3 linked regions of the Arabidopsis thaliana genome follow. The protein of the gene in region 1 interacts with the protein of each later gene in a biochemical or structural test. Each region holds a gene or a part of one and is shown in the gene's direction. Other genes may lie near its edges.

Region 1 (4,203 bases):
TCGGATCAACCCCGATCCGATCAAACTACATGGCTACACCGATGAGAACTCATCACGATTTTGGTACACCAGTGAGGAATTTAGCTGGAAGACGAATCTTAACTGAATCGGAGTTAGGACCATCGCCATCTGAAGTGGCTGACAAATTGGCGAAAGATAGATCGCACGAAACGGAAAGTTCAATACTCAGCGAATGGAGCATCGATGAATCTAGCATCGAAGGATTGCGATCAAAACTCGAGAGATGGCGAACAGAGCTTCCACCGTTGTACGACATAGGATCAAGCCATATAAGTAGCACTGATTACGATGGCGCGAGCGTTCCAGCTGCAACTGCCGGGGGAGGAATGAGTTCAAGACGGAAAACTCCGACGACGAAAAAGCATAACCGCCGTCACACAGATGGAGGTAATGGACTTTTCTCGTGTTTTAGTAAGATTTGTGGTGTGGAATGCAGTTTCGTATGCGGTGGTGGTGGTGGGCCGATGGTCTCAGAAGGATCTACTAAGAAAGGTGGAGCCGGACGTGTGCAACGCACATATTCCGCTGACGATCTGAGCTTTGTGTGATCTTTATTTTATTGGTCTTATATTAACTTTTATTTTTTTTGGAAAACTATATTTTTTAAGGATCTGAGCTGATGAATTAATCAAATAGTAAACAAAAATTAATTTATTAATGTTGTGTTAATAAATCATTTATTTTTGTGTATTCCTCTTCTTCTTCCTTATTTTTAAAAAATTAAAAAATGTTCTTCTTATAATATAGTGTTTAATAGAAAGTGAGCTCACACAACAAAATTAGAAAACTGTGAATGAATGTAAGAGAGTGAGTGGAATAAAAAAAATATAAAAATGAAATCTAAGAGTGAGTGAACAAATGTTGGTATTGTAGACAATGGTGACTAAAATTAAAAAGAAACAAAATGATATAAACATTAATCTAAAAAAAACTAAAATAAATATACAAATTCTGCATTTCTAACTATACTTTCATGTATTATGTATACTTATTTGATTCATACATGATATAACCGGTTATTTAGTTTATTTTCTATCAAATCCATCAATTAGAGCATGAAATCTATGTACTCCTTGATAATGATTTTGATCAAAAGTGTAATTTCCACAAACCAATTGCGCCTGCAAAAGTTTTCAAAGGATCATCAAACATAATGATGAATATCTCATCACCACGATTTTATAATAATGCATCTTTTCCCACCATTTTTTTTCCCTCACTTTCTTTTATAATCTTGTTCGACAACAATCATGGTCTAAGGAAAAAGTTGAAAATATATATTATCTTAGTTATTAGAAAAGAAAGATAATCAAATGGTCAATATGCAAATGGCATATGACCATAAACGAGTTTGCTAGTATAAAGAATGATGGCCAACCTGTTAAAGAGAGACTAAAATTAGGTCTAAAATCTAGGAGCAATGTAACCAATACATAGTATATGAAATATAAAAGTTAATTTAGATTTTTTGATTAGCCCAAATTAAAGAAAAATGGTATTTAAAACAGAGACTCTTCATCCTAAAGGCTAAAGCAATACAATTTTTGGTTAAGAAAAGAAAAAAACCACAAGCGGAAAAGAAAACAAAAAAGAACTATATTATGATGCAACAGCAACACAAAGCAAAACCTTGCACACACACATACAACTGTAAACAAGTTTCTTGGGACTCTCTATTTTCTCTTGCTGCTTGAACCAAACACAACAACGATATCCCAACGAGAGCACAACAGGTTTGATTATGTCGGAAGACAAGTTTTGAGAGAAAACAAACAATATTTTATAACAAAGGAGAAGACTTTTGGTTAGAAAAAATTGGTATGGCCATTACAAGACATATGGGTCCCAATTCTCATCACTCTCTCCACCACCAAAATCCTCCTCTCTCTCTCTCTCTTTTACTCTGTTTTCATCATCTCTTTCTCTCGTCTCTCTCAAACCCTAAATACACTCTTTCTCTTCTTGTTGTCTCCATTCTCTCTGTGTCATCAAGCTTCTTTTTTGTGTGGGTTATTTGAAAGACACTTTCTCTGCTGGTATCATTGGAGTCTAGGGTTTTGTTATTGACATGCGTGGTGTGTCAGAATTGGAGGTGGGGAAGAGTAATCTTCCGGCGGAGAGTGAGCTGGAATTGGGATTAGGGCTCAGCCTCGGTGGTGGCGCGTGGAAAGAGCGTGGGAGGATTCTTACTGCTAAGGATTTTCCTTCCGTTGGGTCTAAACGCTCTGCTGAATCTTCCTCTCACCAAGGAGCTTCTCCTCCTCGTTCAAGGTTCGTCCTTTTTCTTATTAAGAAAGCTCAAATCTTGTGATGTGAGTGTTATGCCATCTCAGGACAGAATTGTGTAGGTGCTTTTGTTTTAGTTTACCCTGAATAAGAGTTAGGTATCTATCTCCATTGATGAGCTTGTGCTTGTCCTGTGCTATAGATTTCTCTATGGAGTCATGCAAATGCTAAGATTTGTTCATTTTAATGTCTGTTTAGATGATTACATCTGAATTTCGAGAGCCATTGAGTGGAAATTTCTTGGTTTGTTGTGGCAGTCAAGTGGTAGGATGGCCACCAATTGGGTTACACAGGATGAACAGTTTGGTTAATAACCAAGCTATGAAGGCAGCAAGAGCGGAAGAAGGAGACGGGGAGAAGAAAGTTGTGAAGAATGATGAGCTCAAAGATGTGTCAATGAAGGTGAATCCGAAAGTTCAGGGCTTAGGGTTTGTTAAGGTGAATATGGATGGAGTTGGTATAGGCAGAAAAGTGGATATGAGAGCTCATTCGTCTTACGAAAACTTGGCTCAGACGCTTGAGGAAATGTTCTTTGGAATGACAGGTCTGTACTGTTTTCAAATGCGTACACTATAAACCCGATGTTTTCTATGAATCTACTGATAGTTTCTGTTTTATCTATCAGGTACTACTTGTCGAGAAAAGGTTAAACCTTTAAGGCTTTTAGATGGATCATCAGACTTTGTACTCACTTATGAAGATAAGGAAGGGGATTGGATGCTTGTTGGAGATGTTCCATGGAGGTAAGATTCGGATATTAAGCAGTATTGCAGTAGTTCAAAACCTGATTAGTCTCTTTTCTCTCTTTTTGTTTAGAATGTTTATCAACTCGGTGAAAAGGCTTCGGATCATGGGAACCTCAGAAGCTAGTGGACTAGGTAAGTTTTAAAGATCATCTTCTGGTTTCTTGATTTCTCGTCTTGACTAATGAAAAAGACTGATTGAATCATTTTTAATGCAGCTCCAAGACGTCAAGAGCAGAAGGATAGACAAAGAAACAACCCTGTTTAGCTTCCCTTCCAAAGCTGGCATTGTTTATGTATTGTTTGAGGTTTGCAATTTACTCGATACTTTTTGAAGAAAGTATTTTGGAGAATATGGATAAAAGCATGCAGAAGCTTAGATATGATTTGAATCCGGTTTTCGGATATGGTTTTGCTTAGGTCATTCAATTCGTAGTTTTCCAGTTTGTTTCTTCTTTGGCTGTGTACCAATTATCTATGTTCTGTGAGAGAAAGCTCTTGTTTATTTGTTCTCTCAGATTGTAAATAGTTGAAGTTATCTAATTAATGTGATAAGAGTTATGTTTATGATTCCAAAGAATGAATATTTGTTCCTTAATATGGTTTGTTGTTTTCTGTCTTTTTGAAGTTTCCATTGACTCGAGTCAAAACGTTTTGCAGAAACAGAGAAGAGTGTGTCATTAAAAAAAACAGAGAAGATGTTTATTTTTTTTGGTCGAAGAGAAGATGTTTCTAAGACCATCAAAATCATATATTGATGATTGATGACAAGAAAAGTTTTGACCATCAAAAGTTTTGTCCTTAATTGTTCTTAAATTCACACAAAATACGTTAAGAGTTATCTTTTAAAACTGCAAACTACTTTAAATTGATAAACTTTGAAAAGTAAAGATTTTATTCTTAATCTGATAGTTGAAGACAAAGAAAATAACAAATGTTTGGATTCACGTCACCAAATCAAAATATAATAAGGTTATGGATTGTTTAGGTAATATTTAACTTGTTACCTAGAAAAGGAGATACAGTGCTTAGCAAGTCCAACCAAAGATTAAAGGATAAGTAGTAAAGTCAAAAGACCAGTAAATTAAAGTCTTGTAGAGAAAGGAAGAAGGAAGATTCATGATCCTTGATAAAATTCAAGTTTGGTGAAATT
Region 2 (6,866 bases), 5.6 Mb from region 1:
GATAAAATTATATCTAGTAAACCTCATCGTGGGATGTTATTCCTCGTTATACGTAATGACTATTTGTTCCAAAGATTTTGCTGATGGCACACAATCTTGGCACCGGAAATGAGAGTTTTTCCATTATCATCAAAAGCATGTTTCACTCCTTGCTAAATTTGAACTGTATATTAAAATGTGCTGCCAACAGCAAATTCCACACATTATATACTTGATTGGAGATCCTTTGATTCAAATATATCTTAGTGACAAACGCGTATCCGAATAAGTAGTTATGTTTATATAGATATTCTATCATAATGATGCTACTATATATCCACTTATAAATTATAATATGTTTGATTATTTTTCTCTAATATGTGATAATGTGGATTGTGTACTAATCCTATATATAACTTAACTATGCTCATTTGTATTTTGTTTATGAGTAATATTACATGAAGGAAAGCGATTTTTATTTACGTATGATTGATAAGTAATGATATGGAAAGTGATATGGTTTCATATCATACAATATAATACAATGACCGCATGTCAATTATTTCGTCGCAAGAAAACAATGGAAAGGTCAAACTAGAGATGTGTGCGTAAAAAAAAAAAATGTATGTAACTAAAAAGGTCTAAAGATGTAATGGTACACACTATACACAATTAGACATAATTACACATGTGGTTTAGAGTATTAGATATTAATAATGAGCAGAACAAGCTATGTTTACAGGTGCAGAGAACCAAGATATTCCTTTCTTTTGGTTGTTGTAGATACAAATATATTTTACAAAGCTCAATTTCAATACAAATGCAAGAACCACAAACAACAGTCCTTTCAATTTATTTGGAGGTGGTCTTAACTCTTAAGTATATATAAACAATACCACCTTATAACTTTTAAGTTTTAACTAAACCATACTTAAATCTTTTTTAATCTCTATACCAAATCTTGCAAATATCAAAATAACTTTTTCTAACCAAAGAAAGAAAACATTTTTGAAGTCCTTAACTTGGAAAGGAAAAGAACACCCGGGCAAAAAAGATTGGAAGATACACTTCCTCCCGTAACCTCTTTAGGCTTCGTGCTAATATACGCTATTTTGACATTCTCTCCTATCATACGCACCTTGTATTAGAGATCTCCCAAAGTCTCACCACTCACATCCCTTTTACGAAATCTCAGCAAGAAAAGATTAACATTTTGAGAAAAGTATATATTATTGCAACGAAAAAAGAAGCCTCCTCCTTTGTCATAAAGTTCTTAATCAATTTTAATTTATTGCCATAATCAAAAAACATTTTATATTTTACAAAGTTCTTGAAAAAGTAGGACACTTTTTAAAATAATATTCACTCATGGTACTTATTTTAAGCTTTATTATCTGCCTTATAACATAAGCATTGAAAGTACTTGTACATTCAACTACGTTTCTGTGCGTATCAGAGATTACGTGTGCTTACTCTACTTTATTAAATTTTTGACGTAAACTGTTCTAAAACATTAAATAATAATATAGATGTATCTATTGAAATACCAAAACTTTATTTTATAATTAATGGGAAACAATAAAATATAATATTATTCGTTTAAAGAGTCTAAAGCTGCAACGGCATCGCCATATACAGAAAGTTTTAAGCGCAGGATAAGAGCATGCACACTCTTTCCCATTTCCAAGCAAAATAAAACCTATACATACACATTTATACTAATACTCATATACATTAGAGAGAGAAGAAGAAAAAATGTGGGATTTTTCAGAGAAATAATTAAAAGAAAGCAAAAGTTTTTTTTTTCTTAAAAGCTTTTGTCTCTCTCTCAATTGCTTCTTGTTCTTGTTTGCATCCGGAACCAAAGAAAGAAACTGTGTGGTTTCATGATGGCACCTTTGGTTTCTCTTCTTCATTGAAGGGTCGAATTTGGTCTGAGAAAAGAAGAGTGGAGAGAGAGAAAGAGAAGAGGCAAGAGCCCCACAAGAGAGACATGCTTGTCTGTGTAGTCCCTATTTTGTATGTTCTTTAATCTCTCCCACTCTGTTTTTGTCATGTGTAAGGGTTTTGTCCTTCGATTTTGGAGTCTTCTTTAACCAAAAAAAAACAGATTCCATGAAATGGCTTTGTCTTTAATTCCTCTGGTTTGTCCTGGATTTATCTTCTTGTAGCCTCTTTGCTCAATAGAGCTCTTTTTGTCTCTTCTTGTATTAAATAAAATAAAATGAAGACTTAGTAAAGAAAAAGAAAAACTCTTGAGTCTTGCTAAAGCCTAGTTAGTGTTGAGTGTGGGAGAGACAAAACAGAACATTGAAAAATCTCTCTGTATGATGGCTTCATTGTCTTGTGTTGAAGACAAGATGAAAACAAGTTGTTTGGTTAATGGTGGAGGAACTATAACAACAACAACATCTCAATCTACCTTGCTTGAAGAGATGAAGCTGTTGAAAGACCAGTCAGGTTTTCATCTTCTTCTTTCTCAAGATTTTTATTAAAAAAGTTACCTTTTTAAGAATAAACTGTGATAACAAAAGGTTTCATAATTTATGCTAATGACATTTAGAAATTTTGTTACTTTCCCCTAAAAATGCGATTTTGAACATTTTTCAGGTACAAGAAAGCCGGTAATAAACTCGGAGCTATGGCACGCTTGTGCAGGCCCTTTGGTGTGTCTCCCTCAAGTTGGGAGCTTAGTGTATTACTTCTCACAAGGTCATAGCGAGCAGGTAACTTTGTGTGTCTTAAAGAACAAACAAACACATTGTACTTCTCTAGATCTTGTTAGCTCCTGTTCAAAAGGTTTGATTTTTTTTGTTCACTTTTTGACTTATTAGGTTGCTGTTTCAACCAGAAGATCAGCAACAACACAAGTTCCTAATTATCCGAACCTTCCATCTCAGTTGATGTGTCAAGTCCATAATGTTACTCTTCATGTACGCCAATCTTTCTCATTTGCTTCGTATCCAAACAAATTGCAACCAAGTTTGATATTTCTTGACAATGGTTTTGTTCCCCTTTGATAGGCTGACAAAGACAGTGACGAAATCTATGCTCAGATGAGTCTTCAACCTGTTCACTCTGTAAGTTTTGGATTCTTGCAACTTCCTTTTGTTTCATTTAAGAACTCATGTTGAAGTTGAATGAGTTTGAATGGTTTGTGTGCATCAGGAGAGAGATGTGTTCCCTGTACCAGACTTTGGAATGCTGAGAGGAAGTAAGCACCCGACTGAGTTTTTCTGCAAAACACTTACTGCAAGTGACACAAGCACACATGGAGGTTTCTCAGTGCCACGTAGAGCTGCAGAGAAGCTATTTCCACCATTGGTGAGCTTCTCTTTTCCTCATATGTTCCTATTGCTTTAACTGCTGCTAGCCTGCTAATGTTATGTTAAATACATTGCAGGACTACTCAGCACAGCCGCCAACGCAAGAGCTTGTAGTTCGAGATCTTCATGAGAATACTTGGACATTTCGCCATATCTACCGAGGTATAACCACTAGATTTGTCTCTTTCTCTGTTTAGATTGAGTTGGTATTGAGCTCAGTTCCTGCTTACATTCTCAGGGCAACCAAAGAGACATCTCCTAACTACAGGATGGAGTTTGTTCGTTGGATCGAAGAGATTGAGAGCTGGGGATTCTGTTTTGTTCATCAGGTGAAAAACCTTGGCTATTGAGATATTTTGGCTCTGACTCATTTTGGTGTTGCTTATCTTCTGACTGTCATTTGTCCTTTGAAAATGTGCCAAAAGGGATGAGAAGTCACAACTTATGGTCGGTGTTAGGCGTGCCAATCGCCAACAAACAGCACTTCCTTCATCAGTTCTCTCAGCGGATAGTATGCACATCGGTGTTCTTGCTGCTGCTGCTCACGCAACCGCCAACCGTACTCCTTTTTTGATATTCTATAATCCAAGGTTAGCTCAAAAGCTTCTTCAATCCTCAATGATATAAAACTATTTTCTTAGTTGTAACGTAACTTATGGTGTTTGTTCTCAGAGCTTGTCCAGCAGAGTTCGTGATCCCTCTAGCTAAGTACCGTAAGGCGATATGCGGGTCTCAGCTCTCAGTTGGTATGAGATTTGGAATGATGTTTGAAACTGAAGATTCCGGGAAACGAAGGTAAGTTATCCGTAAACTGCAATCTTTCTGTTTTTGTTTATCAAATTTGGTTGTTCACTTATACACGTTTTGGTTGTGTATTTAGGTACATGGGAACTATTGTTGGAATCAGCGATTTGGATCCGTTGAGATGGCCTGGTTCTAAGTGGCGTAACCTTCAGGTAGAATGGGATGAGCCTGGATGTAATGATAAACCTACTCGGGTCAGTCCATGGGATATCGAAACACCTGAAAGTCTCTTCATTTTTCCTTCTCTGACCTCAGGACTCAAACGTCAGCTCCATCCATCTTACTTTGGTGAGTAAAATATAAGTGTGCCTTGTTGTGAACTTTACATGAGATTTGCTGCCTTAAAGTTTTGTTATGAAATATGCAGCTGGTGAAACTGAATGGGGTAGCTTGATAAAACGGCCACTTATACGTGTTCCTGATTCCGCGAATGGGATTATGCCATATGCATCTTTCCCTAGTATGGCTTCGGAGCAGCTTATGAAAATGATGATGAGGCCTCACAACAACCAAAATGTACCATCTTTCATGTCTGAGATGCAGCAGAATATTGTAATGGGGAATGGAGGTTTGCTAGGAGATATGAAGATGCAGCAACCCCTGATGATGAACCAGAAATCTGAGATGGTGCAGCCACAAAACAAGCTAACAGTGAACCCATCTGCTTCTAATACGAGTGGCCAAGAACAGAATCTTTCACAGAGTATGAGTGCTCCTGCTAAACCTGAGAACTCTACACTCTCTGGTTGCAGCTCTGGTAGAGTCCAACATGGACTTGAGCAGTCAATGGAACAGGCAAGCCAGGTTACTACATCCACAGTGTGTAATGAGGAAAAGGTTAATCAGCTACTTCAGAAACCGGGTGCTTCGTCGCCTGTACAAGCTGATCAATGTCTTGACATTACTCATCAGATTTACCAACCACAGTCTGATCCAATAAATGGATTCTCTTTCCTGGAAACTGATGAGCTGACATCACAAGTCTCTTCCTTCCAGTCTCTTGCCGGATCATACAAGCAACCATTCATTCTATCCTCCCAGGATTCTTCAGCTGTTGTGTTACCGGATTCCACAAACTCACCGCTGTTTCATGATGTGTGGGACACTCAGTTGAACGGTCTCAAGTTTGACCAGTTCAGTCCCTTGATGCAGCAGGACCTTTATGCTAGTCAGAATATCTGTATGAGTAATAGCACAACCAGTAACATTCTAGATCCTCCACTCTCAAACACAGTCCTTGATGACTTCTGTGCCATCAAAGACACTGATTTCCAGAACCACCCTTCTGGTTGTTTGGTTGGAAACAACAACACTAGCTTTGCTCAAGATGTCCAGTCGCAGATCACATCAGCTAGCTTTGCAGACTCACAGGCCTTCTCTCGCCAAGATTTTCCAGATAATTCTGGAGGCACTGGTACATCTTCAAGCAATGTTGATTTTGATGATTGTAGTCTGCGGCAAAATAGTAAAGGCTCATCATGGCAGAAAATTGCGACACCCCGCGTCCGAACCTACACTAAGGTAAAAAGATTATCTCTCATTCATTCCACAAATTTCTTGTGTCACAATCTGACATGAAACTTTGGGGTTTGGGTAATGTTTTGACTTGGCAGGTTCAAAAAACCGGGTCAGTCGGGAGATCAATTGATGTCACAAGCTTTAAAGACTACGAGGAGCTAAAATCTGCTATCGAATGCATGTTTGGATTGGAAGGACTACTAACTCACCCACAAAGCTCGGGTTGGAAGCTTGTATATGTTGATTATGAGAGTGATGTTCTGCTTGTAGGAGATGATCCATGGGAGTAAGTCTCTCTCTCACTGTTCTGTGAATCCATTAACTTCATCTGACTATCAGTCTTACAATAGTTTTCCTTACATAACTACATAAACTGGTGCAGAGAGTTTGTGGGATGCGTAAGGTGCATAAGGATATTGTCGCCAACTGAGGTCCAGCAGATGAGTGAAGAAGGGATGAAGCTTTTGAACAGCGCAGGCATTAACGATCTTAAGACTTCTGTTTCATAAATGTAACAATATAAAAATGATCTCATGCTGATTTGTAAGAAAAAAAAGAGAGTAAGAAATGTTCTTTTCTCCAACTGGTAGAGGAGAAACCATCTTGTTGTAAGCATTTGATGTGTTGTTCCGATTTGAGACCTGAAACTATATTCATATTATGTAGTAGAGTGATGAATGAATCAGTAGTTGAGACAGTCTTAGAAATCTTGTGATTATTTTACTCTTTTTTCTGCACAATGTTAAAGATAAAAGTGTAGAAAATCATCTTAAAAACACTAGGGATAGTATAAGTACTACTGTGATGGTGAGCCAAATAATACTCGCTAATTAATTCTACATTTGTGGCATAAAACCAAGAAATAATTTCAAATGTATATAAAACTTATATTGCAGTAAAGCCAGGCAAGAGAAAATAGAAAAATTGCTCTGCTGCTAACAGCAAGAGGCAGAGAGCATGTGTGGTATGCTAATTCTGCATCAGTCTCTGTCAAATCTCATTCTTTTTGCATTCTGCATATCAGAAGTGTTGATATTACCATTGTTTAGATTCCTCGGCTGGTAGGGTGTAGCATCGTGCTGGTACATACAATTAGCTCCATGGCGACAACCCCTTGCGCTGTTGAAGTACATGCAAGCCTTCATTATCTTGGGTTTTGAATCCCTTGGCCTCTGGTTATTATTACTGCTATTTACCATCTCCGGGTTAGGTCCTCCTCCAGGTTGGAGGTTGTATCGA
Region 3 (4,702 bases), 3.1 Mb from region 1:
GGGTTGGTTGCACAGTAAAATCCAATAATTCAGGCATTATCCGAGTCAACTGAAACCAAGATAATGGTGAAATATTTGGGGCTATCGATGGTGAAAATGGAGATGATTACTAAAAGGTGGCATTCACATGGCAGCCATTGTAGCATATGATGGGTCAAGAGAGAGGTGAAATCATCACTATATAACTTTTTTGGATTAAAAAATAATTTACTTTTACCAAGACAAGTGTTGATTTTCCAGAGAGTATGAAGATACAACAAAGGACTTAAACTTGTTTCTACATACGAGTAGCAATTAGGGAAATGTTTAGAGGATTATGAAAGATTATTAGTTGATAGTATGTGATAGTAAGTACTTGACCAATAATTAGTGCCATTTATTTTCAAAACTACTAAATTAATGGTGTGCTAGAGAAATGACTCTAATCTTTCGAGTCTCAACGAGTAGTAACAATGATTTTGTTTGTGTACTCTTCGTTCTTCCCCTTTTCTCCATGTAATAATCTGCAAGTGGGTCTATTATTGAGTTTGATTATGCCACCTTTTTGCTCCTTTTATATTCTTTTTTTCTTAATGATTTTTTTTTGGTTTATTTATCTAGTAGATATATATAAAAAAAAACTAATATAAATATTATAAATTCTGAATTTAGGCAGTAAAACACAATTAAACGATGATTTTTAGAATTTGTCTTAAATATACAGTATATGACAAATCGAAACAAAATGTACTACTTAAAAATCTTTTTATTGTTTGAATAGTAAACTTGTTTGTTTTCAATAGAGTTACGAATTAATCGAGATGGAACCCTACCCATAACTACCTTCTTTTGAAAAAGATGGGAGTTTGATTAGCTTTTGGATTTGTTTGGTTATGAAAACATAAAAAAATAAAAAAAATCTCATCAACTTCTAATTCCGTAAAAGGTGTCATCGTCCCAACGACAAATTTGCTTCTCTTCTTTTCGTTTATTCCACAGTTAACTAAAATTACGAGTTTATTTGACTATAAATTAACGAAATAAGTGTCTAAAATGGGGATAACAAATTTTTGACAAAAAAAATAACATGATGTGGGAATAACAACATACGTATTTGATGCAGTACGATACGACAGTACGTTGGATATTATTTAGTTTCTTCTTATTGTACTTTTTAACGAATTAAAAATACCGTATTATATTAGATTAACCAATAAATATTAATACACATCAAATATCATTTTCACGAATACTTTTCACATTGTTGCACTTTCTAACAACCGTGAAAGATTGATTATACGTAATCAAAAACGATTAAAACCAATAATAAATTAATTCAGTATGGAACATATTATATTTTCCTATTGGCCATGAAAGCTTTTACATGGCAATTTAGTAATAACATAAAAAGACAAGGGCATTGTACATGTCCCTTGCTCTGACACTAATGCATCACTTCACCCTTTCTCTTTGGCGAAAGGTCTCGTAAACCAGTGGTGAGCAACACATGCCATAACCAATTAACCATACCACTCCTCAACGGTCAAGATTCCTTTTTATGCTATCCATTGAACCATTCTCCTCCGTTGGATCATCCAACACCCAACAAGCTTTAACTTAACCATGGTTAGTTTTTTGGTCAGCTAGGTTAAAGCTTCTCTCCTCTTGATTAAATTGTTCCATTACAGAGTTTCTGGTTTTTTTTGGCTTGCGTGATCTCTCTCTTCTCTTCTCTCTCTCACTCATCCAAATCTTTGATCATCTCATCATCATTGGACTTGAAGCTAACTCCAGAGTTTTATCCAGATTCATCATTTTCCAACGTTTTTCTTCAATCGAATCATCAGCGAGTTTGGTTCCGACGACGATCTTAGTAGCTTCATAAGCTCAAGGTCTCGAAACTCTTTCTAGATCTAGCTCATTTACTTTCTTGTAGATCTGAATCTTAATCTCTGTGTTTAGTTTATCGAGTTTCAGGATCTGTTGTTTCTAAATTAGTTTGTATAATTTGAATCTCGCTTTGTTGCAGATTCTTCAGGTTTCGGTGGATTTTCTTGAGCTCTTCTAAGCTTCTCCATTTTGTGAGCCTCCGATTTCGAACCTGGTAGTGTTGTGGATCTCACTGGACCACGAAGCTTTCTTCACTGAGCTAAGCTTGAAGTCAATTCCTCTGTTCGACAATCAATAGAGGAAGATGAATTATTTCCCAGACGAGGTTATAGAGCACGTGTTTGACTTCGTAGCTTCTCACAAAGACAGGAACTCGATATCTCTGGTCTGCAAATCATGGCACAAGATCGAGAGGTTTAGTAGGAAGGAAGTGTTCATCGGAAACTGCTACGCGATTAACCCGGAGAGGTTGATCAGGAGGTTTCCATGTCTCAAATCCTTAACTTTAAAAGGGAAGCCTCATTTTGCAGACTTCAACTTGGTTCCTCATGAATGGGGAGGTTTCGTGCATCCTTGGATTGAAGCTTTGGCTAGAAGCCGTGTGGGACTTGAGGAGCTGAGGTTGAAGCGGATGGTTGTAACAGATGAAAGCTTGGACCTTCTTTCACGTTCTTTTGCAAATTTCAAGTCTTTGGTTCTTGTTAGCTGTGAAGGGTTTACCACTGATGGCTTAGCTTCCATTGCCGCTAATTGCAGGTAAAGGCCTTTCTTTTACTGGCGTTTCTCTAGGTTTTATGTTGTTTTTAAAATGTGTTGTTGTCTTTCTTATTAGGCATCTTCGTGAGCTGGACTTGCAAGAGAATGAGATTGATGATCATAGAGGTCAATGGCTGAACTGTTTTCCAGATAGCTGCACTACTCTTATGTCGTTGAATTTCGCTTGCCTTAAAGGAGAGACCAATGTTGCTGCTTTAGAAAGGCTTGTTGCTAGGTCACCAAACCTGAAGAGCTTGAAGTTAAACCGTGCAGTACCGCTTGACGCACTCGCAAGGTTAATGAGTTGTGCGCCGCAGCTAGTGGACTTAGGAGTAGGGTCTTATGAGAATGAGCCAGATCCTGAATCTTTTGCAAAACTCATGACTGCCATTAAGAAATACACATCGTTAAGGAGCTTGTCTGGCTTTTTAGAGGTTGCTCCACTCTGCCTCCCAGCGTTCTACCCAATTTGCCAAAACCTTATCTCTTTGAACCTCAGCTATGCAGCTGAAATCCAAGGCAACCACCTCATTAAGCTTATTCAGCTTTGCAAGAGACTTCAACGATTATGGGTAAGTTTGTTCTCACTTTCTCTTTTCACTGTCCTGAAGAAAATAAACTAACTTGCTAACCTGACAACAAATGGTTTTTATGGTTCCTACAGATATTGGATAGTATTGGTGACAAAGGACTTGCGGTTGTCGCTGCCACATGTAAAGAGTTACAAGAGCTTAGAGTTTTTCCCTCTGATGTACATGGTGAAGAAGATAACAACGCATCTGTGACTGAGGTTGGACTAGTCGCCATTTCCGCAGGTTGCCCTAAACTTCATTCGATTCTGTACTTCTGCAAACAGATGACAAACGCAGCGCTCATAGCCGTGGCCAAAAACTGTCCAAACTTCATCCGGTTCAGGCTATGCATTCTCGAGCCACACAAACCTGACCACATTACATTTCAATCACTGGACGAGGGCTTTGGTGCAATCGTACAAGCTTGCAAGGGTCTAAGACGGCTCTCTGTCTCCGGTCTCTTAACCGATCAAGTCTTTCTCTACATCGGTATGTACGCGGAACAGCTCGAGATGCTTTCGATAGCTTTTGCGGGGGACACTGACAAAGGAATGCTCTATGTGTTGAATGGATGCAAAAAAATGAGGAAGCTGGAGATAAGGGACAGTCCTTTTGGGAACGCTGCGCTTCTTGCTGACGTGGGTAGGTACGAAACAATGCGATCCCTTTGGATGTCGTCTTGTGAAGTAACACTCGGTGGCTGCAAGAGGCTCGCGCAGAATTCGCCACGGCTTAACGTAGAGATCATCAACGAGAATGAGAATAATGGGATGGAACAGAATGAAGAAGATGAAAGAGAGAAGGTTGATAAACTTTACCTCTACCGAACAGTGGTTGGGACTAGAAAAGATGCACCACCATATGTTAGGATTCTTTAGTCTCTTTGCACCTTCATGTGTTTTCAAACTTTTCTTTGTACTAGTTTTTGCCTTTTATCAAACTTGGAACAAATACAAATGTCGCATTTTATTATCACCGTAATTCAGCCATTGAAAACATAAATTTAGGTAAAATACCAATCACGTTTTCCAAATAATACAAATTACAATGACATCCACAAGAAACCTACTTGTCTAATCCATGCTCTGGATGAGTGCACTCTCAAACAAAGAGGTAAACATTAACAGACATTGACACACGATAGTACACAAGACATAGAGTGTTATGGCATATGTCTTCGATTAGACACATAATGCTGACAGTAAACGACGAGATCCACAGAGACTGGCGGCATTCTCAGAAGCAGCATTCCTCCAACAAACAGCAACAGCAAAGAGCAGCAAGACTGCAATTCGCAACCCACAAAAAAAAGGATTCCGTAATCGCAATTTGTAAGCAACATGATTAGGCTACTTGAGGTCAATCACAAATCTCTTACTAAAAGAAAAGCTGCAGATGATATAACATTTTATCTACAAACTTTATACTAAATATTATGGGGTTAAGAATGTAAAATAAAAGCCATTAGGTAGTTCTTAAGAGAGTCACTAGATCCATTGAAAAGT

What was found. Proteins that work in one complex are often made in the same cells at the same time.
Region 2: the proteins of IAA12 (region 1) and MP form a complex in vitro, tested with the Arabidopsis thaliana proteins (one study listed by BioGRID).
Region 3: the proteins of IAA12 (region 1) and AFB3 form a complex in vitro, tested with the Arabidopsis thaliana proteins (one study listed by BioGRID).

The regions. Positions count from the first base shown.
Region 1 is NC_003070.9:1,238,493-1,242,695, forward strand, and holds IAA12 (AUX/IAA transcriptional regulator family protein), read left to right. Parts: upstream 1-1,801; 5' UTR 1,802-2,089; coding exon 2,090-2,292; intron 2,293-2,564; coding exon 2,565-2,851; coding exon of another isoform or gene 2,852-2,883; exon of another isoform or gene 2,884-2,932; coding exon 2,933-3,050; exon of another isoform or gene 3,051-3,123; coding exon 3,124-3,185; intron 3,186-3,268; coding exon 3,269-3,318; 3' UTR 3,319-3,665; downstream 3,666-4,203. Other genes in the region: AT1G04540 (Calcium-dependent lipid-binding (CaLB domain) family protein), read left to right, coding at 1-569.
Region 2 is NC_003070.9:6,885,047-6,891,912, forward strand, and holds MP (Transcriptional factor B3 family protein / auxin-responsive factor AUX/IAA-like protein), read left to right. Parts: upstream 1-1,622; 5' UTR 1,623-2,306; coding exon 2,307-2,439; intron 2,440-2,589; coding exon 2,590-2,705; intron 2,706-2,813; coding exon 2,814-2,912; intron 2,913-3,002; coding exon 3,003-3,059; intron 3,060-3,147; coding exon 3,148-3,303; intron 3,304-3,382; coding exon 3,383-3,467; intron 3,468-3,543; coding exon 3,544-3,634; intron 3,635-3,730; coding exon 3,731-3,895; intron 3,896-3,977; coding exon 3,978-4,100; intron 4,101-4,185; coding exon 4,186-4,397; intron 4,398-4,476; coding exon 4,477-5,630; intron 5,631-5,722; coding exon 5,723-5,913; intron 5,914-6,009; coding exon 6,010-6,136; 3' UTR 6,137-6,358; downstream 6,359-6,866. Other genes in the region: AT1G19860 (Zinc finger C-x8-C-x5-C-x3-H type family protein), read right to left, coding at 6,608-6,866. UniProt on the Arabidopsis thaliana protein: Auxin response factors (ARFs) are transcriptional factors that bind specifically to the DNA sequence 5'-TGTCTC-3' found in the auxin-responsive promoter elements (AuxREs). Seems to act as transcriptional activator.
Region 3 is NC_003070.9:4,368,252-4,372,953, reverse strand, and holds AFB3 (auxin signaling F-box 3), read left to right. Parts: upstream 1-1,655; 5' UTR 1,656-1,871; intron 1,872-2,008; 5' UTR 2,009-2,173; coding exon 2,174-2,625; intron 2,626-2,701; coding exon 2,702-3,197; intron 3,198-3,289; coding exon 3,290-4,075; 3' UTR 4,076-4,194; downstream 4,195-4,702. Other genes in the region: AT1G12810 (proline-rich family protein), read right to left, coding at 4,434-4,482.